7 linked regions of the Macaca mulatta genome follow. The main gene of each other region encodes a partner of the protein of the gene in region 5 in a complex. Links are inferred from orthologs where the notes say so. Each region holds a gene or a part of one and is shown on either strand. Other genes may lie near its edges.

Region 1 (3,500 bases), on a different chromosome or scaffold from region 5:
GTGAACCCTGAAGCTCACCCAATCAGAAGCGAGCGAAACCTAACCCAAAGCTCCCCTTCCCTATAGGCAGGGAAGACTTGACTATGAGATCTGAGTATCAGGGAGAATGGCAGGAATATACATGGAGTCACCTCAAAAGCCTTCCATGGCTTTGCTTCTCATGCCAGTTATGTGGCAGTATGCACGTGTCTTGTTTTGTTTTGTTTTCCTTTGTGGGGGAGGGGAATAAAGCCTGAAGGGAGAAGGAATTCGTAACTGACTGTTGGCTGGCTTCATTCCAATCACTTTCTTTTCTGCTGGTGACAGCTGTTTTCCTCTTCTGATTTAGAAGGTCTGGAATAAGTCCCTCCCTGCCACGCCTCCCCGAGCTCAGCCACAAACTGATCCAACAGCAGGCTTCTGGTCTGGTGACTACAGAACACACACAGGAGGAAAGTCTGCAAGGCACAGTCTGCTGTCTGCCTGTGCTGCCTCACCTGTTTGCCTCCTAGGCTAAGTCTACAAAATTGTAAGGTATCAGAGTAGGCGCAAGCTCTGGGTGGTGTCCAATTCAGGTTATCATTTAAGTTTCCCATACAGAAAAACTAAACACATCATTTCCTACTACTTCTTCCTTTATAATAAGCTATTTCTACTAAACAGTTCCTGAAATCCTGTCTCTACTGGGAAGATTCCAGGAATGGGAAGATCTACTTATACTCTGGCTGCCTCTGTACCATCTTGCAGGCCGATTTATGTGGCAGAAACCTTGCTGAAAGTCAAGGTTTTTCTAACTTTTGATAGTCTAGTGAGTTATATACTGTTACATAGTGTTTGTATTTTACAAATAAGAAAATTAAGGTTCAGAGTGGTTACACACCTTAAGGTCATATATGTTGTAAGTGGGTAAGAAGGGACTCAAAACCAGGTCCATCTCTCCAAATCCTGTCTTTGCTACTATGCCAAATTGCCTCCCATGGAATCAGAATGCCCACAGACCTTCCCTAGCTTTGCATCTCAGTGGGACCCTAGATACACGGTAAACTTACTGCTAATACCTCATACTACCAGGGAGGTCTCTGCTTCCTGCCTTATCTTCTGGGAAACCTGTGCTCCCTGGTCTATCAATATTATCAATATTCGACTCAGAGAGCAGGAGAGGATGATGTCCCTGTGGGATGCATGGTACCACGTGAAGCCAGTGAGTACCTAAGAAAGGGGTTTGTGGAAACCACAGGGGCAGTCAAGTGTCAGGCACCCACTCACCTGAGTCAATCCACCAATCTCCTTCACAGACACATAGAGGCGATAGAGGTCCAGAGGTTTCCTACCCACAGCAGGCAGATTTGTCATGCCCATGGCCTTCTCCTCAGTGAAGGCCAGATAACGGTCCACCCACATCTTCCTCTCAGGCTCACCACCCAGCTCATACAACTTGGTGATCTTCTCATTGGTTGTAGTAGAAGAACTGGATTTCTGGAAGGTTCAGGTCAAAATTCATAGGAATGGGTCAGATTCAAAGCCTATGCTAAGGGTCTCAGAAGTCTCTTGACTGGAGCAGTGTTAAAGCTTCTTACTCTGGGGTGGTCACTAACACCTGCCCTGCCTTCACAAGGTTGAAGGGCCAAAAAAGAACCAATTTTTATTTTTCCTATAAAGGAAGGAAGCTAACACTGAATATATGTTATGTACTGGGTGGGATGCTAGATGCCTTTATATATTAGATATTATAAAATTATCCCCATTTTTAAAGATAAGGAAGCAGGCACCAGGAGGCAAAGCGTAAGATCTCACAGCTTTTAAGTGGCAGGCTGAGGATCAAATCCTTGTCCATCTGACATCAAAGCCACTACTACTCCCACACTACTACCCAGGAGCCTGAACATACTTAGGTACTATGTTTTAGGTAAATCGAAAAACTCACAACATGATCTTGAGGCAATGGGATGGACTAAAATGAAAAGAAACTCTTTGCCTCTTCTAAAGAAAGGAAGGGTTTCCCACCTGGTTGAAGGGCTTTGGATATCATCCTGTCCAAGACAGAAGGATGGTCAAAAGGGCTGGGAGCTAGAGGTGAAAACTCATAGGAGGTAACAGCTATGATTTTTATTTTCCCTACGTATATAGATAGGGAAAGTGAGGTATGGCCAAGGACAGAAATATTTCAAATGACCCAAATGCTGAGTAGGACCCATTACTTCTGCACAGCCTAACAGCACACCCAGGACCAACCTAAGGGAAGCCAAGGAATCAAGTCTCATGTGCCTTATCTCCTTCTTTACAGTACACAGGGTACCATTCCTGCTGCCACGAGTAAGGTTCAGGAAGAGAAGAGCAACTAGTTGCCCATGGCACACCCCATCTATCAATGCTTGAGTACAGGAGGCACGGTTTCACAGAGGGCACCAGCCAAACAGTACAAACAGTTTGATGCTGCAGGGTCTGGCATTTCCCCCATAACAAACAGCTGTGAGAATATTATGTTATTTACCAGGATCCCTTAGACCAACCCAGACCCAACTCACTGAGCTATTATTCTGAGACCCTTCATGATAAGAGGAGGCAACAGCAGCTTTTTCAGAGACTATCTAGTCCGGTGTCATAAAAGGCTGGGATCTTGTCTCTCTCTTTTCTTTTTCCTTCCTACCACTGAAAAAGATAGGACACAAAATTGAAAGAGTCAAGACAAAAATTGCTACCTTGGATTTGGATTCTGTCTTGGGTGTCCCGTCTGCCTTGTTGTTCATTTTGGTGGCTGGAGTTAACTTGACATCCCCAAGGCCCATCATCTCTGGGCTGGCTGCCATCCCTGTAAAAGAGAAAAAAATTCTCAAGACCAGTAAGTTTAGCTGTGATGTGACTCCTGAAGAAATCCCTAGTGAGAATGACTAGCACTTACCTGCAGAATTGTTGGCCATGGTTCCACCCATGGAATATGGGGGTCCCTGAGGGTTGATCATGCCAGCCATACTATTAATCCCTTGTCCATAAGGAGGTCCAGTTCCCATCATGCCCCCTTGATTCATATTGGGGTAGCCTGGCGGCCTAAGGAAGAAGATGGAAAGTGAGAGAGACAAGGTTAGACTCTGGGCTTTTAGATTTGAACTTGAGCCAAATAATGCTGTGTGATCATCTAGTTAGGATTAAAAGGAAAACACTGATGGGTCCCCAAAACTAGAACTATGCAACATCCGGATATTATTTTTCTTTATTTTCTTGAGATACGGTATTGCTCTGGCACCCTGGCTGGAGTGCAGTGGTGTGATCATAGCTTTTTGCAGCCTTAAACTCCTGAGCTCAAACGATCTGCCTTCCTCAGCCTCCTGAGTGCCTAAGACTATGAGGCATGCACCACCATGTCCAGCTAACACCCAGATTCTCTTATCTTCTACATCCCACAAAAGATACTAAGAGAGTTCAAGTTCTGGATAGCGAACAATAGTTTATTTAATTTTTTTTTTTTTGAGATAGAGTCTCGCTCTGTTGCCCAGGCTGGAGTGCAGTGGCGTGATCTCGGCTCG
Region 2 (3,500 bases), on a different chromosome or scaffold from region 5:
GAGGTGGAGGCTGCAGTGAGCGAGATCTGATAGAGCAAGACTCTGTCTCAATAAAAACATGGAGATACTGTGGCAAAGGGTAACACGGAGTCAAATACCGACAGGGTTGAAAACAGGCCCAATGGTGACATATTTTTTTAAAGCTTAGAGAAGGGATGACTAACTTTACCTCCTCCAGAGATTAAAAATTAAAAATAAATAGGTCAGCATTATTTAAGGTGTGAGTGAGGAAGGATTTCCTCTAAGTAACATGAGATTAGAGAAGTGGGCATTTTCTTCCCTGAGGTCTTCAAGGTCTGGCCTCACCTTGGCTTTCACTGCGGCAGCAGCCAGGGCGGCAGCAGCGGCGGTGGAGAGGTTGCCCTCGCCAATGTCCCGCTCCACCTTTGTCTTCCTTTCCCCCTCAGACTCCACCACTTCCTTCAGCACTTCCTCCTGCCCTTCCTTTGGCTCCTTCTCCTTCTCCGGATCGACTGGGCCAGGACAAGGGTTAAGTTAGCCCCACAGTTTCACCTCTCTTCCCTGCACCCCCACCTACCCTTGTGGGAGGCTCACCTATCGGGTCTCCATCACTCTTCTCAGACTCCTTCTCACTGTCACCTTCTTTCCCTTTCTCCTCATCCTTCTTGGGAGCCTCGCTGGTTTTCTCCTTTGCTTCCTCCTCTATGGCACCCCCTCCTTCTCGGGGTTCCTGAAATTCCAGTGATAGAAAAGGAGAGTTATCAGGGATTGGGGTGATTAGTTCTCACACAGAGGAGCCAGACAGGGAACTAAATTTATTCCTCTTACTTCGGAGGTGATTTCATTCTAGGAGACAACCCCGTCCAAAACCAGCCCTTGCCCACCTAAGCTGAACAAGGCCAATTCCCCCATCACCACAGTGCTGCACACAGCCCCTGCAGCTCCCAGCAATCCCTCCGTACCTTGGGCTCCTTCTTCTCATCTGTGGCCTGGCCTTCCACCCGAGCCTCGTCATTCCCGCTCTCCTCTGGGCCCATGGGAAAAGGAAAACAGGAAATGTCTAATACACAGTCGTCTGTGTCTAACACTCTTCTTTTTTTTAGAGACAGGTTCTTGCTGTGTTGCCCAGGTTGGTCTCAAACTCCTGGGCCCACGCAATCCTCCCACCTCAGCCTCCTGACCAGCTTGGACTACAGTGTGAGCCTCTGCACCCAGCTTCTCCATAACACCTGTCTTTTTTCTTTTGAGACAGGGTCTCACTCTGTCGCCCAGGCTGGAGTGCAGTAGCACAATCATGGTTCACTGCAGCCTTGACTTCCTGGGCTCAAGTAGTTCTCTCACCTCAGCCTCCTGTGTACCTGAGGCTACAGGCACATGCCACCACGCCTGGCTAATTTTTTTGGTATTTTTTTGTAGAGACGGGATTTAGCCACGTTGCCCAGACTGGTTTCAAACTCCTGGGCTCAAATGATCTGCCCACCTCAGCCTCCCAAAGTACTGGGATTACAGGCATGAGCCACTGCGCCCAGCCTTCACAAGACTTTTTCCTTTTTGAGACGAAGTCTTGCTTTGTTGCCCAGACTGGAGTGCAGTGGCCTTGATCTTGGCTCACTGCAACCTCTGGCACCCAGGTTTAAGCTATTGTCCTGCCTCAGCCTCCGAAATAGCTGGGATTACAGGTGCGCGCCACCATGCCCAGCTAATTTTTGTATCTTTAGTACAGACGGGGTTTCAGCATCTTAGCCAGGCTGGTCTTGAACTCCTGACCTCATGATCCACCCGCCTCAGCCTCTCAAAGTGCTGGGATTATAGGCGTGAGCCATCGCGCCCAGCCTTCACAAGACTTTTCTAATAGCCCCTTCTACAGGCCAAGATTTTTCTACCCAAAATCTTCATGAGAGGGCCAGTAGAGGTCCAGAGCCCCTGAGGTAAGCTCATGGGGAAAATAAAAACCCTACCGATTTTCTCATTCATGTTGTGCTCTGATGCCAACTTGAGGCAGAAATGGCACAGGGAGGCCAGGTGGCTCCGGCTCTTGTGAAAGGCAAGAAATGTGGGAACCTGCCTGGCCTTACCAATCCGCTCAGGCTCATCAGAGGTGGTTCCTGCAATGCCACTGCTTTCCAGACCGAAGGCAGGGTCCGCCTTGCCTGTTACTTTGGCTGCTTCTTCCACTTTCCGAACATGGGCCTCCACCAAGGCCGTGGGTACCTCTTCCTTCATTTTGGAGAACTCCTCTGTAAGACCCAGAAAGGATGAGGCTGGGAGTGGCGCAGGGGGACAGTTCTGGCAATCCCTGCAAAAGCTTACTCACAAGCCCATGTCTTTATCTAAGCCAGTATGGAGCCTAGACAGATGCCCGAGCTGAGGCCTGCACAGACAAGGACAGCAGGGCAGCCAAACTTGAGAGGATTCACAGTCTGAGTAACTAGCCCTTCAAAAGCAAACTAAGAAGGCCAGGTGGAACCGCCCACCCCCATTACCTAGGGCTGACTTTGCAGCAGCAGAGGCGACTCGGGGATCGACGACAGAGGCCAAGAAGGCAACAGTGCTCATAACAGGGTTGCCCGACTGACTGAAGGGGATGGGTTGGTAGGCCAGGGGGCCTAGGGAGGCCTCTGAGTCCTCCAGGTATGGGTCTTCAATGGGAAGACGAAGAAAATGCAAGATGCACTCGTCCTGTGTGCGGCTTCCCACATGCTCGGACACTTTGTTCCAGTCATCTTTGTACATTTCCAGTGCCTGGTGGTAGTGGTGGAGACATAACTCCGCTTACTTAGCCACTTTTCTCGAAGGCCGACTCCCCCCATCCTACTAAGGGCAGCTGGTTTCAAAGCTCTCTATGTTCTGGTATTTGTGTACTCTGCTAGGTCCAAGAGGGATCTTGAAGTAGCACTAAGAAAGGATATGAAGTTAATGAAATGGCCCAAATCCCCAGCCTGGAGCTGGTCCCTGGGGCAGGTGCAACAGGCATTGGGAACGGGAGAGACAGGGCAAGATCATGCTCTGCTCATGCCAAACTCCACGATCTCTCCTCACTCACAAGTGTGGCCAGCAACTTCAACATGTCTGTTTTCTTTTTTTGTTTGTTTGTTTTTTGAAACAGGGTCTTGTCTCACTCTGTCACCCATGCTGGAGTGCAGTGGTATGATCACAGCTCACTGGAGCCTTGACCTCCTGGGCAAGCCTCCCACTTAGCCTCCTGAGTAGCTGGGACCACAGGTGTGTGCCACCACACCTGGCTAATTTTTTAAATTTTTCATAAAGGCAGAGTCTCACTATGTTGTCCAGGCTCGTCTCGAACTCCTGGGCTCAAGCGATCCTCCTGCCTTGGCCTCTCAAAGTGCTGGGATTACAGGTGTGAGCCTCTACACGGAGCCCACTTCTGTTTCCAGAGAAAAACTCTTTTCTTTGCCCCAATTACCTCCAGGAGAAGCAGGGTTTCCTGTTCTGTCCACTCACGAGTGGCACTGGCTGCAGCTTTGCTCTGCAGGGGAAACACAGGCAGGTCAGAAGAGAGGAGCCTGTGACCTCTGAGG
Region 3 (3,500 bases), on a different chromosome or scaffold from region 5:
GTGCTGCAGTTAAAAAAAAAAAAAAAAAAAAATTCCTTCGAGTACACATTTGTGTTTTCATAATGTTAAACCATGCAGAGCCAATCCCTCAACTATCTACAACAGGATGTGAAAGATTGCATATATTCAAGGTTTAAGACCTCAATATCTAATGATTTAATTCTTCATTTTATAATTTTAAATTTTCTAATTAGAACTTTCATATAAATTATGAAAATTATAAATGAAAAAATTAGATTATCTAGAGCCTCCCTGATAAACACACACTGACTAGAAACATTAATATATCCACTTCATCTTTTTTCTGGGTGTCCACTTATATACATAAAGATACCGAGACTCACACATACCCCCTAACCTCATTGTGCCCTCATTTTTTAAAACACAAAACTGGATTACACTGCGTGTGTATGCATGTGTGTGTTTTGGTATTTTTTTAAAAGCATTATGTGCATGTTCTCACAATCATTAAATATTCTTTGAACTGCATTTCTATCCTATAAATGTAATATAATATTACCCACTGTGGGCATTAAAATTTATTTGTAACTTCCAGGATAAAAAATACTGTAAACACTCAAACAGACCTTTTTATTCTAATTAAATTTTTTTCAGCATCTGATTAAATCCTTAGGATAAATTCTACTAGTGGATTTGCGAGGTCAAATTCTGTGGAACTTAAATTGGTAAGACTGTCAAAACGCTTTCCCATAATGTTGGATTAGTTTCCACTTTTCCTAGCAGTATGAAAGGAAGTCAGCTTCATCCCCCTTTGCATGCCATAGCTCCCCTTTTAGCAACATAACAGGAGAAAAGTTGTATCACCACTTTAATACTTGAACAGCATCTTATTTTGCATAATATGTATTATTAAAGATGTTTTAGAAGCTGCTGGGGACAAGGAAATAATGTCCATTCAATGGTAGCACAACCTCACATTTAGATTGGCTTCAATGAAAAGTCTGAAATAGCCAGTTACTTAAAACACAATGCTAAAGAAATTCAAAGCCCTATGTCATCACTGTGATCAAAGCCCTAAACCATCAAGGGGATTCTGTTCTCCTTCAGATCCACAGAATTCACCAGCTGCCCATTGTTTTGCAAGCGCATTTTGCTACAAAAAAAGAGTCATACAGGAAAACCCAACAAATTGCACAACATATTACTAAACACAATATTTTCCTATAGGAAGCCTAAGATTAAGCAAAAGAAACCTAAGTTAATGCACTCCCCTAAACTAAGAAAACTACATTTCTGTGTCAAGAGATCAAATTCTGTTTTGTTCAATATTTTAAGCTAAAGAGACAACAAGTTGAATAAATGACTGTAAGCTAATTTTCCAATATCCTTGCCTAAATCGCTCATGGTAACTACAAAGGGGCGATTTTAAGTATAAATCTTACCAAAGGCCACACACGGCTTGTTTTTTATCAAAACATACTATAAATAACTTTTCTTGATGAATACCTTCTGGAAATTACATGCAACCATCCTTTTTCAAAGAGAGGGTGATGACAGAAGTTCAATGTAACATTCCAGGAAAGCAATTAGCAAAAATTCAAAGAGAAAGGAAACGCTTCCCACTAGAGAGAAATGTTCTCACCGAAGTGCCTTTATTTTTCCGTTTCTCGTCACCTCGACCATCTTCGCCATCATCTGAATCACCGTCACTGTCTAGAGCAGGGAGCTCAGGATCCAGAGGGGGCTCATATAGGGCTGTGTTTAATGGCAGATACCGCAGCTCATCTGGTGAGTACCTGAAGTTCAGAGCGTTTATTTTTGGTTTCCCTTTATTATTAAATATAAATAGACTCATCGTTGACCTATGAAGAGAGCCTTAAACTTCTTGAGTAACTCCAAAGACTTCCGAAAAATAGAGTATTAATTTTTAATTTTTGTCATCAAGTAGGGTTAATAAAAAGCCTGAACATCTTTTCACTAGACTTATGTAAAATATGCATTTGATTCTAAGAGATAATGCGCCTCTCCTCTTTGCCCTCAACCCAAAAAAACAAAACAGTAAATAAAATGTCAGTAGCCCCAAGTCTGACTGCCAGCTCACATCCACGTCCACCACTGTTCCAGGTCTTTGCTACTTCTCTGTGCTATCACTCCACTTGTAAAACAGGCCTAATAATAGCATCTACCTCATACACCAGTGCATGGTACATGATATTACTTAATATTAATATAGAAAGCAAAATTTTTAGTAACAAATTATTGTAAACAAATTTGGGAAGCATGTATTCTAAAAAATCTAATCAACTATTTTTTCTGAAACTAGATTGGCAATCTCTTCCCCTAGGTCAGACAGCAATGCTTTGTGCCACCTCCATTCTCACCCTCAGTAGTCCTCATTCAGGAAGCGACCCTGGATCAGGACTTCTCCAACTAAGACAACACACCAAAAAGCAAAGGAGTTGGTATACTTGCATATGACTTTTAATAATTTGCTGACACCAGAGTAAAATTTTTAAAAATTTAAGGCCGAGTGCAGTGGCTCACGCCTGTAATCCCAGCACTGCGGGAGGTCAAGGTGGGCAGATCACCAGAGGTCAGGAGTTCGAGACCAGCTGGCCAACAGAGTGAAAATCTGTCTCTACTAAAAATACAAAAAATTAGCCGGGCGAGGTGGTAAGCACCTGTAATCCCAGCTACTTGGGCGGTTGAAGCAGGAGAATCACTTGAACCCGGGAGGTGGAGGTTGCAGTGAGCCGAGATCGTGCCACTGAACTCCAGCCTGGGTGACAGCATGAGACTCCATCTCAAAAAAAAAAAAAAAATTGAAGAAAAACTTTTAAAAAAACTGCTGCCCATGATTTAAATTTGAATTAAAAAACCTTTTTAATTTAAAAAATTTCTGCCCAAGATGTGACTTTCAAATGGTGTGAGTTATGATACTATACTTTAAATTCTATTCTCTAAAAAAATAGTCTATTATGAAAAACATACGGTTCCAGAGTAAGGCTTAAGGTTGAAGTAAAAGCTGAGACTTTAAAACAAAATGGGCTGGGTGCAGTGGCTCAGGCCTTTAATCCCAGTACTTTGGGAGGCCGAGGTAGGCGGATCACAAAGTCAAGAGATCGAGACCATCCTGGCCAACATGGTGAAACTCCACCTCTACCAAAAATACAAATAATTAGCTGGGCGTGGTGGCATGTGCCTGTAGTCCGAGCTATTCGGGGGGCTGAGGCAGGAGAATCGCTTGAACACAAGAGGCAGAGGTTGCAGTGAGCCAAGATCGCGCTACTGCACTCCAGCCTGGCAACAGAGTGAGACTCTGTCTCAAAAAAAAAAAATCTGTTAGCCCTGTTTTTTTTCAGTTACATTCAGTTTGGGAATAGGAGATAAGTAGCATTTAGGGGCCAGATTGGAGCAGCAGCCAGGCCAGGTCAGCAATGTGGCTGAGGCACCTAGGTGCCCGTGCCTGCCCCTCTGCTCCTTCTCTCATCTTCTCTGCAGTAAAAGTCAGTGTTTCTCAAACTCTAACCTGCACGTGA
Region 4 (4,296 bases), on a different chromosome or scaffold from region 5:
TCTTTACTTGAACAGCTTGAAAATACTTACAATGAGTATAGTTTCAGAAGCTTTATTGTTTAATATGAAAATTTTATAGAGAGACAAGAAAGGAGAGAAAAACATAACCAGTTGAAGGTTAGGTTTAACAAAAAAGCCAGAATGAGCATTCATTCAGTAACAACTTAAAGACTCTTAATAGTGAAGATTAATAAGAAAGAAATGGTAAAACTTTCACTTATTTCCCATTTACAAAGAAAAAAACAAAACAAACTGAGCATAGGAGGTTGGAGTTTTACAGTATTGTTTCTTTAAATGTTGGGGTTGGTTCAAGGAAAGATGCAAATAATTATTTTATTTAGTAGGAAATGCTTTTTTTTTTTTTTTTTTTTTTTCTTTTAAGCTGAATTTCATCCTGTTGCTGTGATGATTGAGTGACTGTCACTGGAAGACATCTGGGTTTTTGTATCAAGGCCAGACTTGGCTATTACATTAACAAGAAAATTAAAACTTACTGTTGCAGGAGCTGGGGTGGGAGGTGGGGCATAAGATGGTCTTTCTGTTTGAAAGAAAATAAATAACTTCTTGTAAACAACTGAGATATAATACTATGCAACAAAACTACCAATGGTCCTGTTTTGAAGAAAAAAAAATGAGAGTATTTTGGAATTCCCACTTGCTAGGGCATTAGTCTCTTATTAACATAGATCGATAAATATAAAAATTGAAACTTACTTGACATTTTGGAAGATTAAGTTCTCAGTTCCTTAAGAATGAATCTGAGACACTAAAATAAAAAAAAAAGGAAAAAAAAAGAGAATCAAAACTCAGCAAGCATACGAGAATGTTTTCCTAATGAATAGGGTAATTTAATTGGTATTTCTGAGTAAAACTACTTCACCTTAATTCCTAGTAATTAAGCCTTTTGCATATTTTAACTAGTTCTTATAGGAGATTTGGTTGATTAGAATTAAATGACTAAAATAAAGTACTGGGGATATTTAGAAATGTACTTTCAGGTTTTTTCTTGGGATACTAAGCTACCTCTTGTATGGAAAACATTTTGCTGACGCCATGTAAACATTTCATCGGACTGATACAAGCATGAGAATACAAAGTGATGTATTAGAGTCCAACCCAACAAGGCCTACCAGATACTGACAGCTCCTTGATCAGCAACTGTACCATGTTTTTGGGATAACAATTTTTATTAAAATTGGGCAGCATTTTATTCCTGGAAGCAGTGCAAAAGGTAATTGGTATGACAATGAACTTCGCATTCTCTTAAGAGTGGTAAATAGCTTCATAAATGCTGGGAATAAATTTTGAGAGTCTACCTGAAAAATTCTTATTCACCCTTCACGGCCCATTTCAAAATTTTTCTCCTCAATGGAACTTTCTTGATACATTACCTGGGCAGAATTAATTGCTCCCCCATCTGTATTCCTATACAGTTTACACAGATCTATGATATTATTATAACTTTTTTTAACTTGTCAATATGGCTAGATTGTATGCTACTTGGAAACAGGGACCATGGCAGGACCCAGCTCAATTCTTAGGAAATTTTTTCCTAGTATTACCAGCTCACAACATAATCAGGCACATGTGAGCTTGTTCTTTACATCAACATACATCACAAATAGTGAGGTACAAAAAGACAAAAATTCATCTTTAGAAAGAAGGCAAATAAACTTCTATGACTATTGGAGGTATTTGCATCTAAAGTTATGTGGAATAGATCCGATTTTTCACTTCTATTACTCATTTTAAGGAAATTCCCTGGAGCGTAAGGAATGAGTCCTGGTGTGGAAAGAAACAGTTCATTTTCTCAATGGTCCAACCTGAGTCTTTCCCTCTTAAAGAACAGTCAGAAACCTTTGACTCTGGTGTAGATTTCCTTTCTGCTCACATTAAGGGAGCTGTCAACATCCAGCAGGCCTCGCTGCAGGGCACCCTGACAACTGCCATAAGCTAAGCTCCCTGTACGTTATACTTCATTGTTAATACTTTAAAATTATGGTTCTCCTTTGCTAGAACATAAAATTTAAGAGTGGGCTTGTACATTTGTCCACCGTTGGATCCATCCTTGGTGCCTGGCATAAAAATAAATACCCGATAAATATTTGTTCAAGAAATACTTTATACGGGGTAGGCTTATGACCCTATTTCGCTTAACAGTCACAAGTACTTGATATGTACAGCTATCCCCATTTTACAGATGAAACAAGGGAGTCTCGGAGAGTCTAAACAACTTGTCTGAAGCCATATGCAGCCAGGAAGTGCCAGAGTTGGGTTTCAAACCCAGGCCAAACTATTTCAGAGCGCTGCTCGTCTCCATAAGCCACATCTTGAGTCCTCAGGTCGCTGCCTGAACCAATGGGGGAACCTTATTCCTGGGGGTGAGAACCACGGACTTGCCTCGCCCGCGGGCTTCCTGAGGTCACTCTCATTGTCTTGGAGAACGTACTTTACTAGCAACTCCCCTAAAACGGGGTATGCACAGGTGCTTTGACCAATTTCGGGTGACCGGCCTTGCCTCCAAGGAGGGGGCCCCAGATGGGACTCCCTTCCAACCCTTGCTCTGCTAGGCCTCAAGGAGGCCGCAACCGGCTCCCGGCTGTGGCCCCACGGCCAAGCCTGAACCCCAGCAACCCCCGGGAACTCGGAGTTCAGCCAAGCGGGGACACCACGACTTGCCCCCACCGACCCGGTCCGGCCCACTTGGAAACACTCACCCGCGGGCAGAAAAAGCGCCCGCAGCTCCGGCTTCGCTTCCCTTTGTCCCGCGCACGCCCCGCCCCTCGCGTCCGGAGCTTCCGCACTCGCACTTTCCACACTCTTCTTAATTTTTTTTTTTTCCGGGCCCCACCCGACCCTCTTTGGAAAAAATAAACCTTCTAGTGAGGATGCGGTGATGCTTAGCACACTCCGGGATTTTTTTCAGGCCCCATTGGTTCCTCAAAACTCTCCGAATTTGGATACTTTCCTAGCCGGGCGCCGATTCGTCACGGCGAAGAGGGCCGAAGAGAACCGACCGCGGGATAGGCCTGGGTTTAGCGGCTGTGAGGAGCTGGAGCGGCCGCAGCGACCGAGGAGGTGGCGGGAGGCGCCGGGCCTTGCGGAGGGGCGGTGGGGGCTGCAGTGGGAGACGGCGGGAGGCACTCAGCGCGAGGCCGCGGAACCACTGTGGCCGCGCGCAGCTCGGCCAGACTCCGGCTGAGCCCGCCCCTGGAGGGGCCCTCCCCGACCCGGGTCTTTCCTTTCGGCTGTGGGCCAGAGTCTACACTTCACTATGCCGGGGATGGAGGCGTGGAGGACTCGCTTCGCGGCGTTTGCGTCCTCGCAGACGCCTCGCAGGACTTCCTGCCCTCACGGCACGGTAGTAGCTTTGGCGAAAAGCAGTACGAGTTTTGCAGTTTTTCCAAGCGCTTTTAGGGTGTAATCGTCCCAGGTTTCTGAGCCAAGGCCCGGAGAGGTTGACCCTCTTGCAACAGCTTGTGTGTCCTTGCAGCGCCGCGGGTGCCACCTGGTCTCCGCCCCAAAGCTGCCTTGGCTCCTTCGGTTCCCGCCAGCGGGAACGACCGACCCCACTTTCAGCTTAAACTCATCTGTCCTTCCGGATCCAGCTCAGAGGTCTCTTTGTGATGCCCTCCAGGAACTTCCCCCGCTAGTAATCCTTCCTTTGTATTCCCGTGGCTCTTTGATAATAATGACTGGAGTCCTGAACCTGACCCTTTGTATCGGACCGTGTTTGTCATCTCTAGTGCTTTATGAAGGCCTTGAAAGCAAGGTTCAGCCGTTTGTATTGGTCATCTTCCCCTTGCCAGTGCCTACGAAGGACTTGACTCATTCACTGTTAGACGCTCAGTAAATGTGTATTGAGGCAGCCCCCTGTGCTACTCCGGGACTCTTTCCACTACATCATGAGTATGTTGGTTTACCAGATGGAGTGAGTAGCCTTCTCTTTGGATACATAAACACCTGACGGATATTGTGGGCCACTGTGGAGGAGAATGAACAGATGGGACCCCTGACCTGTCGTTACTTGAAAACAGTTGACATTTAGAGAGAGAGGCTGAATTCTTGGGCTGCCCTTAGCCCTCATCCTGAGTGTGCCAACAGGGAATAGAAGCATCTCTAGTCTGCAAAGCCAGGAACAAGTGCTGCTCTGTCCAATTTATCCAATATTGTTATACTCATGAATAGAGATTAATGAATTGAAGAGCATATTCAAGAGAAAGACTAAAGGAGAGGTCGTCTGCCCTGTGGACAGGCAGCTTGAGTGGTGCTTGAGAAAATGTACATGAAATTGCT
Region 5 (3,988 bases):
GACAGAACAAGACTCCATCTCAAAAAAAAAAAAAATCGAGTGTTCACTATGCATCAGGTGCTGCAGTGTGTTAGCGGCTTCCCATGTGACCTCATTCAACCCTCACAAGAAGCCTGTGAAGTTTCAGGCATCCTCGTCCTACCTGTTTCACAAGTGGGGGCCCTACTGCTAAGCGCCTCGTTTGAGGTTAAGCTAGGATTTCAAGAGCTGGGTGTGAATTCAGGAGGTCTGATTCCAGAATGGGTACTCCTTACCACCGCCCCACGCTAACCACCACCCCACACTTTGTAGGGGAGAGGAAGACAACTGAGGTTCGGGAAACAATGGCTTGGAAAGTTCAAAAACTGTTAAAATAACTAACCTGTATCCCTTACAACCCATGCCCAGTTCTGCACCAAGCTTTTTTTTCTCCTTTTTCTCTTTCTTTTTTTTTTTTTTTTTTTGAGACATTCTTACTCTAGTACCCAGGCTGGAATGCAGGGGCGCAAGAATGGTTCACTGCAGCCTCCACGTCTCTGGTTCAAGCAATCCTCCCACCTCAGCCTCCTGAGTAGCTAGGACCACTGGCACATGCCACCACACCCAGCTAATTTTTATATATTTTGTAGAGATGAGGTCTCACTATGTTGCCCAAGTTAGTCTCAAATTCCTGGGCTCAAGCAATTCCCCCACCTCAGCCTTCCAAATTGCTGGGATGTCAGGTGTGAGCCACTGCACCCCACCCTGCACCAAGCCTTTTACACAGATGGTCACGTGATCTTCCACAGGACCCCACCCCCCTCATTCAATCCACAGAATTTCTCTAAAGACCTACTATGTGTCAGGCCCAGAGTACTCTGGGGTCAGCCAGGCAGACACAACCCCAGCTCTCACGGTGCTGGGGGTGACAGCTACACCGGAAAGGACCAAGGTGATGCGTGAGTATAGCTGAGGGGAACAATGGCTAGTCCCAGGTGGCCAGGGAAAGTCAAAATACACTTCTGGCGCGGTGGCTCACACATGTAGTCCTAGCACTTTGGGAGGCCGAGGTGGGTGGATCACCTGAGGTCAGGAGTTTGAGACCAGCCTGGCCAACATGGTGAAACACCATATTTACTAAAAATACAAAAATTAGCCAGGCGTGGTGGCGGGCACCTGTAGTCCCAGCTACTCAGGAGGCTAAGGCAGGAGAATCGCTTGAACCCAGGAGGCAGAGGTTACAGTGAGCGGAGATCGGGACACTGAACTTCAGCCTGGGCGACAGGCAAGACTCTGTCTCAAAAACAAAATACAATCCTACATATATCCTCCCTGATTTTGAGGGCCCCTCTTTCAGGCAGCCCCCGTGATCTCTGGCTACCACCGATCCCCTGCCTGTCCGCTGTGTCCCTCTCACAGCGCAGGTCAAGAGCATTAAATGACAGGCCAAGAGTGTTTGTTCCCACGTTGACCACCCGATCCCCTCCAAGACTGCAGAGGTTCCAGGATCCAACCCCCCGACCATCCAACACTTAGTAGGACCTCAAGAAGTTATTTGCTGAACAATGAGGGAGACTGAACCAGACAGTAACAACGTGCTTCCCACTTGCCAGGAACCATTTTACAGGCTTTTACCAACTGCATTTGGGAGATTACCCCCTTTCACAAAGGAGCTTTCACAAAGGAGGAAAACTAAGAGGTTCAGAGAGGTTAAGCACTTCCCTAAAGTGACAGTGTGCTAAGTGACTGACAGCACCAGGAATCAAGCTTAATGCACCCTATCAATCCAAACTGAAAACTTGTTTCAAATTCCTGCGAAGTGGCTTTTCCGCTTACTCCCTTTCTACTTTCCCCAAGGAGACATTGACCAAAAAAAAAAAAAAAACAAAAATCAAGACTGGTGTCTTCAAGATCCGGACAAAACACTCGCCTAAAAGGTCCACGTTGAAAATAAAAGCCTTAATCTGAAAAACCAATTGGGAAGGAGGAAAAAGGATGCAAAAGAAAAGCAATGCTTTTACACAGCAAAGGATTTCCACCGTGCTCCCTTACTTGCCGCCGACCCCATCCCCAACCCCAATTCCGGGCAAACATTTTGAAGTCACTAACTGAAAGTCATTGGGGGAGTCCTTTACCTTTCCTTGAAAATCTGGAATGACGCGTTTTTAAGACAATTTGAAGTCGGCTAGCCCAAGGGGGCCGCTAATGCCCGTGTCCGGCCGACGCCGGACATATCTGGAGGTTTGGCTACTGAGCCCAGATCGTAGCTTCGCCAAAAAGGCAACATTCGGGTCGGACCCCTTAACACGCAGCCAGAAAAGCCCCAACGCCTGCCTATTGTTGGAGCCGCTGCAATTGGGAGGGCTACTGTAGGGGTGCCGGGCGAGGGGGGCGAGCTTTGTCCGGCGACCCCGGCGAGAGCGCGCGCAGAGAGGATCGCGCGGCCTCCACGCGGCCCGGGCCCCCCACCCACCCCGCCGCTCCGCGGGGACCGCCGCTGCCGCGGCCTCGCGACGCTGTGGCCTTCCCCACGAGCGCGGCTGCCGGCGGCGCTTCTTGACCCTCGGGCGCCGCCGTACCCCGGTCCCGCACAGGGCGCGCCGGCGGCCCCCTCCCCCCTCGGCGCCCCGGCTCCATTCAAACCGCCCTCCCTGGCCCCGCGCCGCGCTGCCCCCGCGGCCCGCGTTCCTTACCGGGAGCCGCCGGCGCCGTCGCCTTCCCGGCGCCGCCCCCGCCCCTCCGCGCGGGGCCGGGGGCAGAGTGGGCGTCTCGCTTCTCCTCACGAAACAAAGAAGCCGCCGCAGCCGCCAAGCGAGGGGAAGCCTCGCGCGCGCGCCCGACTGCCTCGGCCACCGCCCCCCCTTCACACACACGCGCGCCGCCCGCGCCCCCGCTACGCGCGCGCTCGCCGGCTCCCCTCCCCCTCAGCACCGCGGCGGCCTCTCCAGCTTCCGCCGCCTGCCCAGCCTTGTGCGCGCGCCAGCCCGCCCTTCCTCTCCCCCCGCGCGTGCGCGCCCGCTCCTGAGCTGACAGAGGTGGGCGTGGTCCGGAGGAAGCACGCGCGTCCCGTGCACCGCCCCACTCGGGCTGCGAGGCCTCGCGCCTGCGCACGGGCAGCTTCGCCCTCCGCACGCCGCGCGTCCTGACGCACGGGAGCATGCGCAGAGCGGGCGCCACTGCGGCGGCGACGGCGACGGCGGTGGCGGTGGCGGCGGGGCAATTGGGGGATGGGATCCCGGTGGCCGTGGGATCCATGGGGAAAGGAGGTTCCTGAGGCTCGGAAATAGGAACCCTGGACCGTAGGACCGGCCGCCTGGGCCAAGACCGGGCAGTGGTTTTCCGCGGACCAAGGGCGCGCTTGGGAACCGCTTTGATCCCTGATCTGGGGCGGCAAGGCCTGTTTGGGGAGCTAGGCGGGGCCCGACCGTGGCCGCCTTCTCTGCAAAACCTCCCGAGTGCCGTTAATTAGCTTAGCAAATATTTATTGATCTGCTACTGTATCTCAGCCACCGTGGAGCCCACGGTCTAGTGGGGGAGGAGGACAAGAAGCAAGATTAATAAGCAAAAGAGCGCAGTGTGAGAGGCTGAACTTGGTGGCTCACGCCTGTAATCCAGCACTTTGGGAGACCGAGGCGGGCGGATCACCTGAGGTCAGGAGTTAGAGACCAGCCTGACCAACACGGTGAACCCCGTCTCTACTAAAAATACAAAAATTAGCCGGGCGCGGTAGGCCACGCCTGTAATCCCAGCACTTAGGGAGGCCTAGGCTGGTGGATCATGAGGTCAGGAGATCGAGACCATCCTGGCTAACATGGTGAAACCCGGTCTCTAGTAAAAATACAAAAAATTAGCCGGGCATGTTGGCAGGCGCCTGTAGTCCTAAACTACTCAGGAGGCTGAGGCAGGAGAATGACGTGAACCCGGGAGGCGGAGCTAGCAGTGAGCCGAGATTATAACATCGCATTCTAGCCTGGGCAACAGAGCAAGACTCCGTCTCAAAAAACAAAAAAAGAGGCCAGGCACGGTGACT
Region 6 (4,186 bases), on a different chromosome or scaffold from region 5:
TAGAAAAGAAGCAAAGAACCTTCTGATAATATTTTCACCACTTCGACACTAACACCCAGAGACTGAAAAGATTCTGGCTGTCAGGCCTAGGGCATATATGATTCTCAATCTCAGTAGACCACAGAAATACACTCTGGCTTTACAAAGTCCTGAGAAGTCAAAGACAACTTTGTCTATAAAGTCTCAGGGATAGTGAATCAACATTAGCCTAGTGGTCTCAATACTACTGGGCAATTCTTCAAACTGCTTTGTAGCCACTTCCCTACCCACCCAAACAAATACTGAAGATGATTATCCACACCTAAAGCTTCTTGTAGTTGGTCCCAAACTGATGCACACTGAACAGTGTGGAGAGGTAGAAATTACTGAAATTTGCCTTTTTCTACTCTCTTCCTTGATATTCAAAGGAACATCTCTAGATTATTTTTCTTTGTTAAAGCTTCACTGAATTTAAGACCCAAAGCATTGGCTAAAAGGAATGTAATAAGAAAGAATTAACCAATATTTTCATAACATATTCAATCCCACTAGCCACTCCTGGAAGCTCTATTACCTACGTTTAAAAAGCGCGGTGGCTCACGCCTGTAATCCCAGCACTTTGGGAGGCCGAGGCGGGCGGATCACGAGGTCAGGAGATCGAGACCATCCTGGCGAACACGGTGAAACTTCGTCTCTACTAAAAATACAAAAAAATTAGCCAGGCGTGGTGGTGGGTGCCTGTAATCCCAGCTTCTAGGGAGGCTGAGGCAGGAGAATGGCGTGAACCCGGGAGGCGGTGGAGCTTGCAGTTAGCGGAGATCGCACCACTGCACTCCAGCCTGGGCGACAGACCGAGACTCCGTCTCAAAAATAAAATAAAATAAAATAAAAAGTGACCAATTTATCACTGTGTAAGAAAGGGCAATATTACTAAACATCTAGAGTCTAAATGTAATTTTGGGGGGGGGGTCCAAGCACCTAAAAATATAATTACTGTCTCTCACTTCCTCAAACTTCAGACAAGAAATGTAATTTTTCCCAGCTGAACTTCAAAAATAAAAAAGAAAGAAAGAAATGGTCATTTCTGGGGTTTGTTTTTTGCTTGTTTGTTTTTGTTTTTTGAGACAGAGTCTTACTCTATTACCCAGGCTGGAGTGTAATGGTGCGGTCTCGGCTCACTGCAGCCTCTGCCTCCTAGGTTCAAGCTATTCTCCTGCCCCAGCCTCCCGAGTAGCTGGGATTACAGGCGTGTGCTGCCACACCCGACTAATTTTGTATTTTTTGGAAAGACGGGGCTTCACCATGTTGGTCAGGCTGGTCTCGAACTCCTCACTTCAGGTGATCCACCCGCCTCGGCCTCCCAAACCGCGCCCGGCCAGAAATGGTCATTTCCGAATGTACCACGTGTAATGCCAAAGGAACCCAAGATCCCTGCCCATGCCTAATAACTGCCAAACACTGACAGGCTTCACTGAGCTGTAAAGGCCAAATAAATAGGTTCCTAGTTTATCTTTTCATTCATTAAACAAATATTTACTAAGCAGCTACTAAGGGTAAGGCACTAAGTATCAGCCACGTTCCCGGATACACTGTAGTGAACAAAGCCCTTTCTTCAGTGCTATGATCCTCAATAGGAGAAAGTACAGAATTAAAGAGGGTGATAGGAAAACTTCAGAGGCTGGGGAGCCTTTTTGACTACCTGCTTCATTACACCCTTTAAGGGAGTTCTCCGGAATATTTACACAAAGGGGAAGTTGGAGAAAAAAAAAATGTTATAAACAAGGGATTAAGTCAAAACTTTGAAAACTACTGACTCGGCGGAACTTCCATTCCAAAGGTAGGATAAATAAGTAAATGACTAATTTCAAAATGTGGTAAACACTACGAAGAAAATAAAGGTGACATAAGAAAAGTGCTCTAATAAAAACTGGGTTCTCGGAAGGCCTCCCTGAAGAACACTTTACGTACAAGTGAACATTAACTCTCACGCCACACAGAACCAGAAGCACAATGAGGTAGAAACCGTCGTTAATAGCTCTCATCCATCCTAGAATTCACATTACCTGTTAGTAATTAACGAATACAATCATCCCAGTCGTTTAGCAAATCAACAACAGGTAGCAAACCCCCTCGAGACTTTGAATACTCTCTAAACAAAACTTGAAGCTGCTTTTACCACGCTTGCTCGGTCTTTAGGGATCATTGTTCATACACCTAAGGCAGCTGACAAAAGAGAGTCACACTCGCCTAGTGGCTGAGCTCGACCTGCTCTGGCACACGAGACTGAGCAGGGGCTTTCGCCAGGGGTGCGTGGGCTCACAAGAACAAGCGCCTGACCCGTCAGGCCACCGGCGCGCGGGCGCCCAGAGCGGACGGCGGGGGCGTGGCGGGCCCTGCGCCTGCCTTTGTTGTCCCTCGTGGCGTGCGGGGGGGAGGGGAGGCCCGAGGCCCGCGAGGCCAGATGCCGCCTCCGGCCCCAGTCGCGTGGTCTCCCGGCCCCCATGGGCGCGCGAACCCACCTTCTTGTAGTGCTTGCCCAGCCAGACCCGCACCGAATCCAGCTGGGACACCGTCTCCGGGCTCTCCCAAAACTTGGTGGCCGGACCCCCATCCTTCCGCCGATAAACGGCTAGGCCTGCGGCTACCGCCGCGGCCCCCGAGCCCGTGGCGCCTACCGCTGCCCCAGGCCCGCCGCCGCCCGCCGCTGCGGCCATCGTCGCAGCCCGTCGTCCCCACAGCCTGGCCCACCCCAGCCCTCGCGGTGTTTCCCGTTCGTTCCCGCGCGCGCCCGCGCGCGCGTAGCCGCCACTGCCGCTTCCCGGCCCCGCCCAGCCAACCCCCTTCCGGTGCGGACGCCCGGCCCCGCCCCCTCTCGGGACTGGCGCCGTATCCGACGCGAGCCCGCGCATACGCATGCGCAGCACTCGTGCGGGCGCGCCTTGGACTAGCACGTCCAGCCGCCTCTTCCGCCAGCCTCTGTAGGCTCCGTTCTCCCCTAGTGAGTGCCGGTTATTGAGCCATGCTCTTCCCTCGCTACCGACGTCGAATCGTTATGCGGTTAACAACCGCAGGTTGATTCTGTGTCATAGCCTGCCTCCGCTGAAGGGAAAAGGTCTGGTGCGAGAAGTGCCGAGGGGAAAGCCTGCCTAGGGTATCGAGTGCGCCGGGCCCGGCTTTCCCTTAGACCCTCCACCCCCAGCGGCCCGGCGGCATTTGGGAAGAGCCATCTGGGACGCCCACGCCAAGGCTTTTCGGCTTCACAGACCTTCCACTCCCTCAGGGGTCCAGCCACAGCGGCTCATTCCTGCCCCCACGGGCCCTTGCATCGGCTGTTTCGGAGACCTCAGCGGGTCTTCCCTTCTGATTTTCACTTATGAGACGCGTTCAGATTCACTGGTTCAAAGGACTTCAGAAAGCCGTTGTCATATCTTACAATCTTGAACTGTTCACACCCATACACTTTCTGCGTAGCGCTTACCATGACCCGGTGTTTTTAGTTTCTCATTTACCTTCCACATAAATTACATGAGAACCTAATCTTAACTTGTTCACAGGTGTATCCTGAACACCTGAGACAATGAATACATGTACAGTGAATACTTGATGAATTAATGAATGGCCCATATAGAAGCCGAAAATTTTTAAATTATCAAGGTATGATTGGCCGGGCGTGGAGCACTTTGGGAGGCTGAGGCGGAACGATCGACTGACCTCAGGAGCTCTAGACCGCCACGCCCGTCCCCGTCTCTCCAAAAAAGTACAAAAAGCAGCCGGGCATTGTGTTGCAAGCCTGTGCTCCTAGCCTCTTGGAGGGCTGAGGTGGGAGGATCGCTTGAGCTGGGGAGATGCAGGCTGCTGCAGTGAGCTATAATCGCGCCACTCACGACACCATCCTGGGCGACAGAGCAAAACCCTGTTTCAAAAAGTACGACTGGCCATAATGGAGTTGTGAACATAATGCTATATGATCTCAGAGAAGCAAGTAACTAATTGCTTATGAGAAAGTGACTAACTGCTGATAAGGTTTTGAGACCTTTTAAAAATGAGGGTATGTACGTTTTCAGGATCTCCTGAGGGCTGTGTCACGGACAGTAAAATATATTAAATAAAAAAATGAATAGAATGTGATCAGGAGGGCCAGGCGAGATGGCTCACGCCTGTAATCCCAACACTTTGGGAGGCCAAGGTGGGCTGATCACAAGGTCAG
Region 7 (3,500 bases), on a different chromosome or scaffold from region 5:
AGCCTCCTGAGTAGCTGGGACTACAAGTATAAGTCACTGTGTCCAGCTCAGAAATCACACATTCTTTGCAAAATTAGGAAATATACCATCAATCCATTCTGCCATGATCTGAACCTAGCACTGTGCTTATTTTTACAGCTACAGTTTAATATAATTATCCATAGGAGAAATAATACTCTAAAATAATAAAGTGTAATGAGGCCTAAAAAATGCATGCTACTATTTCCCCCTCATATATATATACACCCTCAACCTCTTGGGCTCAAGTGATCATCCTGCCTCAGCCTCTCAAGTTGCCTGGACCACAGCAAGTGCGACCATGCCCTGCTAATTTTCTTATTTTTTCTAGAGAAGCGGTCTTGCCATGTTACCCAGGCTCTTCTTCATATTAAAAGCCATATAAAATATATAATGAGGAGGACAGGTGATGAGACCTGCTCCACTGTGCTCTGGTTAGTACATACCTAGAGTTGTGCACTTTAGTAAGGGTAGACATATACTACTGAAGGACATATTTACCTCTCTGGTGAAGGAATACAAAAGTATTTCATGTGATAAACAGCTCAAAGAACTGGACTGCCTGGATCACATTTCCACCAACTTTTGGTTTCATTAACTTCTATGCATACTCTATGTCTCAATTTAAAGGCAACTGTTCTAGAAAGCCTTTTTGAAAACAAATGCCAAGCCAAGGCATGTCATTCTATAATAATTTCTTTTTTGATCATAATCTTCCTTACTGGAGTAGTTTTGCAAGGGAAAAACATGAACTTTTTGTTCTTTTGAATCTCTGTCACTCCACAGAAAGGTTGGCTCAAAGTATGTTTTTAATAAGTATCAACTGAACGAATGAATTTCAACCAGACTTTAAGAAGCTGTATTTCTTTTGACTCAACTATGACACTGCCCAATAGGTCCTATGTTTTTCATATGATGGGTGCTTACTTACATTTATTGATATATTGAACAATTATTATGGAAAGGCATAAGATATTTGAGTTAAAATTTTCTTCCCTGAAGAGCAAGGAGAAGTCAAATAGTCATATCTCACTAAACTGTTCTTTGATTTAAAACAAACTTACCAGCTGAATCCTCCCACAGTCTTTCAATACAGACTATATGTGGTTGTAGGTTGGCCTCTGCAGGTTCCACATAGACATAATCTCCAACATGGTACATGCTGTTTTTAAAGCTACAATCCTGGCTGTATGTGCGATGTAAGCCTGAAAGGCCTGCAGCACCAGAGGAATCTTCACTCTTTTCAGCTTCTTAGGTAAAAAAATAAATAAATAAAGGAAAAAAGTACTCACCAAAGGGATGCTGGAGTCAGATGTAGGATTCAAACAACACATACTAATAATACATTCAATACATTTAATTCCATTTGCAACGTGCGAAGGCAGGAATCAGCAACAGTATGATCTTTACATTCCTAATAGCCTCTACTCAAAACTGTATTTTTGAATTACAACCATCATTAATTTAAATGAATATGTAACTACACAAAGGATGTATAGAATAAAAACATCATCTTACTAATAAATGATCACATGGTCATTTCGGATAATATTGAAAGGCACAAAGAAGTACATACGTCGTTTCAAATCAGGTATTTCTAGAGATAATCTCTGATATACTTCACTTCCACCTTAAGGCTTCTCAATGTGTTTCATTTCACTAACAAGTTATTACACAAATATGACACATTTAATGCAGTCATAGAATTGAAGAAATATGGAATATGTATATTCTACAAAAAACTATATATATATGTATATATATTTAATATATCATGAACACTTGCCCTGACAGGAAATGCTTTTTTCAAAATGACTTTTATTTTTATTTATTTTTTTTGAGATGGAGTTTCGCTCTTGTTGCCCAGGCTGGAGTGCAGTGGCACAATCTCAGCTCACCGCAACCTCCGCCTTCCAGGTTCAAGCGAGTCTCCTGCCTCAGCCTCCCGAGTAGCTGGGATTACAGGCATGCACCACCATGCCCGGCTAATTTTGTATTTTTAGTAGAGATGGGTTTCTCCATGTTGGTCAGGCTGGTCTCGATCTCCCAACCTCAGATCTGCCCGCCTCAGCCTCCCAAAACTGTGCGATTACAGGTGTGAGCCACTGTGCCCAGCCGACTTTTATTTTTGTTAAGTAAAACTTATTAGTTCCAGTACACGCCGGGAGCAGTAGCTCATGCCAGTAATCACAGCACTTTGGGAGCCGAGGCAGGCAGATCACTTGAGGTCAAGAGTTCAAGGCCAGCCTGGCCAACATGGTGAAACCTCGTCTCTACTAAAAATATAAAAAAATTAGCCAGCATGGTGGCGGGTGCCTGTAGTCCCAGCTACTTGGGAGGTTGAGACAGAAGAATCGCTTAAACCTGGGAGGTGAATGTTGTAGTGAACCAAGACCGCACCACTGCACTCCAGACTGGGTGACACAGCAAGACTCTGTCTCAAAAAAAGAAAAAAAAAAAAGTTCCAGTACAAGCTATCATTTGCAAATATCATAAGGTTTTTATTGAGGATAAGGCTTTGCCCAAATTTTTGATTACTTCCTTAGGTTAATTTTCCATAAACGGAAGAGCTAATAATCAGCATTTTAAATGTTATTTATTTTATTCTTCTGGAAACATTTTTTTTTTTTTTCTTTTTTTAGATGGAGTCTCACTCTGTCACCCAGTCTTGAACTCCTGACCTCAAGTGATCCGGCTGCCTTGGCCTCCTAAAGTGCTGGGATTACAGGCGTGAGTCACTGTGCCTATCTAAATTTTAAAATAGTTTTTCTAGTTCTGTGAAGAATGTCATCGGTGATTTGATAGGATTAGCATTGAATCTGTAAATTGCTTTGGGCAGTATGGCCATTTTAATAACATTGATTCTTCCTATCCATGAGCATGGAATGTTTTTTCATTTGCTTCTGTCATCTCTGATTTCTTTGGGCAGTGAGTAATTCTCATTGTAGGGATCTTTTACCTCCCTGGTTAGCTGTATCTCTAGGTATTTTATTCTTTTTGTGGCAGTTGTGAATGAGAATGTGTTCCTGATCTGGCTCGTGGCTTGGCTGCTATTGGTATAAGAATGATAGTGATTTTTGTACACTGATTGTGTATCCTGATACTTTGCTGAAGTTTATCAGCTGAAGGAGCTTTTGGGCTGAGACTATGGGTTTATTAGATATAGAATTATGTCATCTGCAAACAGATGTAGTTTGACTTCCCCTCTTCCTACTTGAATGCCCTTTATTTCTCTCTCTTACCTGACTGCCCTGGCCAGGACTTCTAATACTATGTTGAATAGGAGTGGTGGGAGACAGCATTCTTCTCTTGTATCGGTTTTCAAAGGGAATGTTTCCAGCTTTTGGTCATTTCAGTATGTTGGGTGGCTTTGTAATAGATGGCTCTTATTATTTAGAGGTATGTTCCTTTAATACCTAGTTTATCTAGAGTTTTTAACATGCCAAAAGCCTTTTCTACATCTATTGAAATAATGTAGTTGT

What was found.
Region 1: SMARCA4 (region 5) and ARID1A share a complex: the UniProt entries of both Homo sapiens proteins name them as parts of the neuron-specific chromatin remodeling complex. The link is inferred for Macaca mulatta from reciprocal best matches to the Homo sapiens genes SMARCA4 and ARID1A.
Region 2: SMARCA4 (region 5) and SMARCC2 share a complex: the UniProt entries of both Homo sapiens proteins name them as parts of the BAF complex. The link is inferred for Macaca mulatta from reciprocal best matches to the Homo sapiens genes SMARCA4 and SMARCC2.
Region 3: SMARCA4 (region 5) and PHF10 share a complex: the UniProt entries of both Homo sapiens proteins name them as parts of the neural progenitors-specific chromatin remodeling complex. The link is inferred for Macaca mulatta from reciprocal best matches to the Homo sapiens genes SMARCA4 and PHF10.
Region 4: SMARCA4 (region 5) and SMARCE1 share a complex: the UniProt entries of both Homo sapiens proteins name them as parts of the BAF complex. The link is inferred for Macaca mulatta from reciprocal best matches to the Homo sapiens genes SMARCA4 and SMARCE1.
Region 6: SMARCA4 (region 5) and SMARCC1 share a complex: the UniProt entries of both Homo sapiens proteins name them as parts of the BAF complex. The link is inferred for Macaca mulatta from reciprocal best matches to the Homo sapiens genes SMARCA4 and SMARCC1.
Region 7: SMARCA4 (region 5) and PBRM1 share a complex: the UniProt entries of both Homo sapiens proteins name them as parts of the SWI/SNF-B (PBAF) chromatin remodeling complex. The link is inferred for Macaca mulatta from reciprocal best matches to the Homo sapiens genes SMARCA4 and PBRM1.

Annotation. Positions count from the first base shown.
Region 1 is NC_133406.1:214,216,593-214,220,092, forward strand, and holds part of ARID1A (AT-rich interactive domain-containing protein 1A), read right to left. Parts: intron 3,025-3,500; coding exon 2,879-3,024; intron 2,789-2,878; coding exon 2,679-2,788; intron 1,456-2,678; coding exon 1,246-1,455; intron 1-1,245. UniProt on the Homo sapiens protein: Involved in transcriptional activation and repression of select genes by chromatin remodeling (alteration of DNA-nucleosome topology).
Region 2 is NC_133416.1:63,321,811-63,325,310, forward strand, and holds part of SMARCC2 (SWI/SNF complex subunit SMARCC2), read right to left. Parts: intron 3,449-3,500; coding exon 3,386-3,448; intron 2,704-3,385; coding exon 2,445-2,703; intron 2,199-2,444; coding exon 2,037-2,198; intron 989-2,036; coding exon 924-988; intron 692-923; coding exon 556-691; intron 474-555; coding exon 307-473; intron 1-306. UniProt on the Homo sapiens protein: Involved in transcriptional activation and repression of select genes by chromatin remodeling (alteration of DNA-nucleosome topology).
Region 3 is NC_133409.1:2,316,796-2,320,295, reverse strand, and holds part of PHF10 (PHD finger protein 10), read right to left. Parts: intron 1,758-3,500; coding exon 1,604-1,757; intron 1-1,603. UniProt on the Homo sapiens protein: Involved in transcription activity regulation by chromatin remodeling. Belongs to the neural progenitors-specific chromatin remodeling complex (npBAF complex) and is required for the proliferation of neural progenitors.
Region 4 is NC_133421.1:65,026,263-65,030,558, forward strand, and holds the start of SMARCE1 (SWI/SNF-related matrix-associated actin-dependent regulator of chromatin subfamily E member 1), read right to left. Parts: upstream 2,801-4,296; 5' UTR 2,718-2,800; intron 767-2,717; 5' UTR 722-766; coding exon 715-721; intron 539-714; coding exon 495-538; intron 1-494. UniProt on the Homo sapiens protein: Involved in transcriptional activation and repression of select genes by chromatin remodeling (alteration of DNA-nucleosome topology).
Region 5 is NC_133424.1:11,698,517-11,702,504, reverse strand, and holds the start of SMARCA4 (SWI/SNF-related matrix-associated actin-dependent regulator of chromatin subfamily A member 4), read right to left. Parts: upstream 2,801-3,988; 5' UTR 2,652-2,800; intron 2,517-2,651; exon of another isoform or gene 2,094-2,516; intron 1,850-2,093; exon of another isoform or gene 1,155-1,849; intron 551-1,154; exon of another isoform or gene 400-550; intron 1-399. UniProt on the Homo sapiens protein: ATPase involved in transcriptional activation and repression of select genes by chromatin remodeling (alteration of DNA-nucleosome topology).
Region 6 is NC_133407.1:111,146,820-111,151,005, forward strand, and holds the start of SMARCC1 (SWI/SNF complex subunit SMARCC1), read right to left. Parts: upstream 2,801-4,186; 5' UTR 2,694-2,800; coding exon 2,499-2,693; exon of another isoform or gene 1,359-2,498; intron 1-1,358. UniProt on the Homo sapiens protein: Involved in transcriptional activation and repression of select genes by chromatin remodeling (alteration of DNA-nucleosome topology).
Region 7 is NC_133407.1:116,140,845-116,144,344, forward strand, and holds part of PBRM1 (protein polybromo-1), read right to left. Parts: intron 1,269-3,500; coding exon 1,083-1,268; intron 1-1,082. UniProt on the Homo sapiens protein: Involved in transcriptional activation and repression of select genes by chromatin remodeling (alteration of DNA-nucleosome topology). Required for the stability of the SWI/SNF chromatin remodeling complex SWI/SNF-B (PBAF).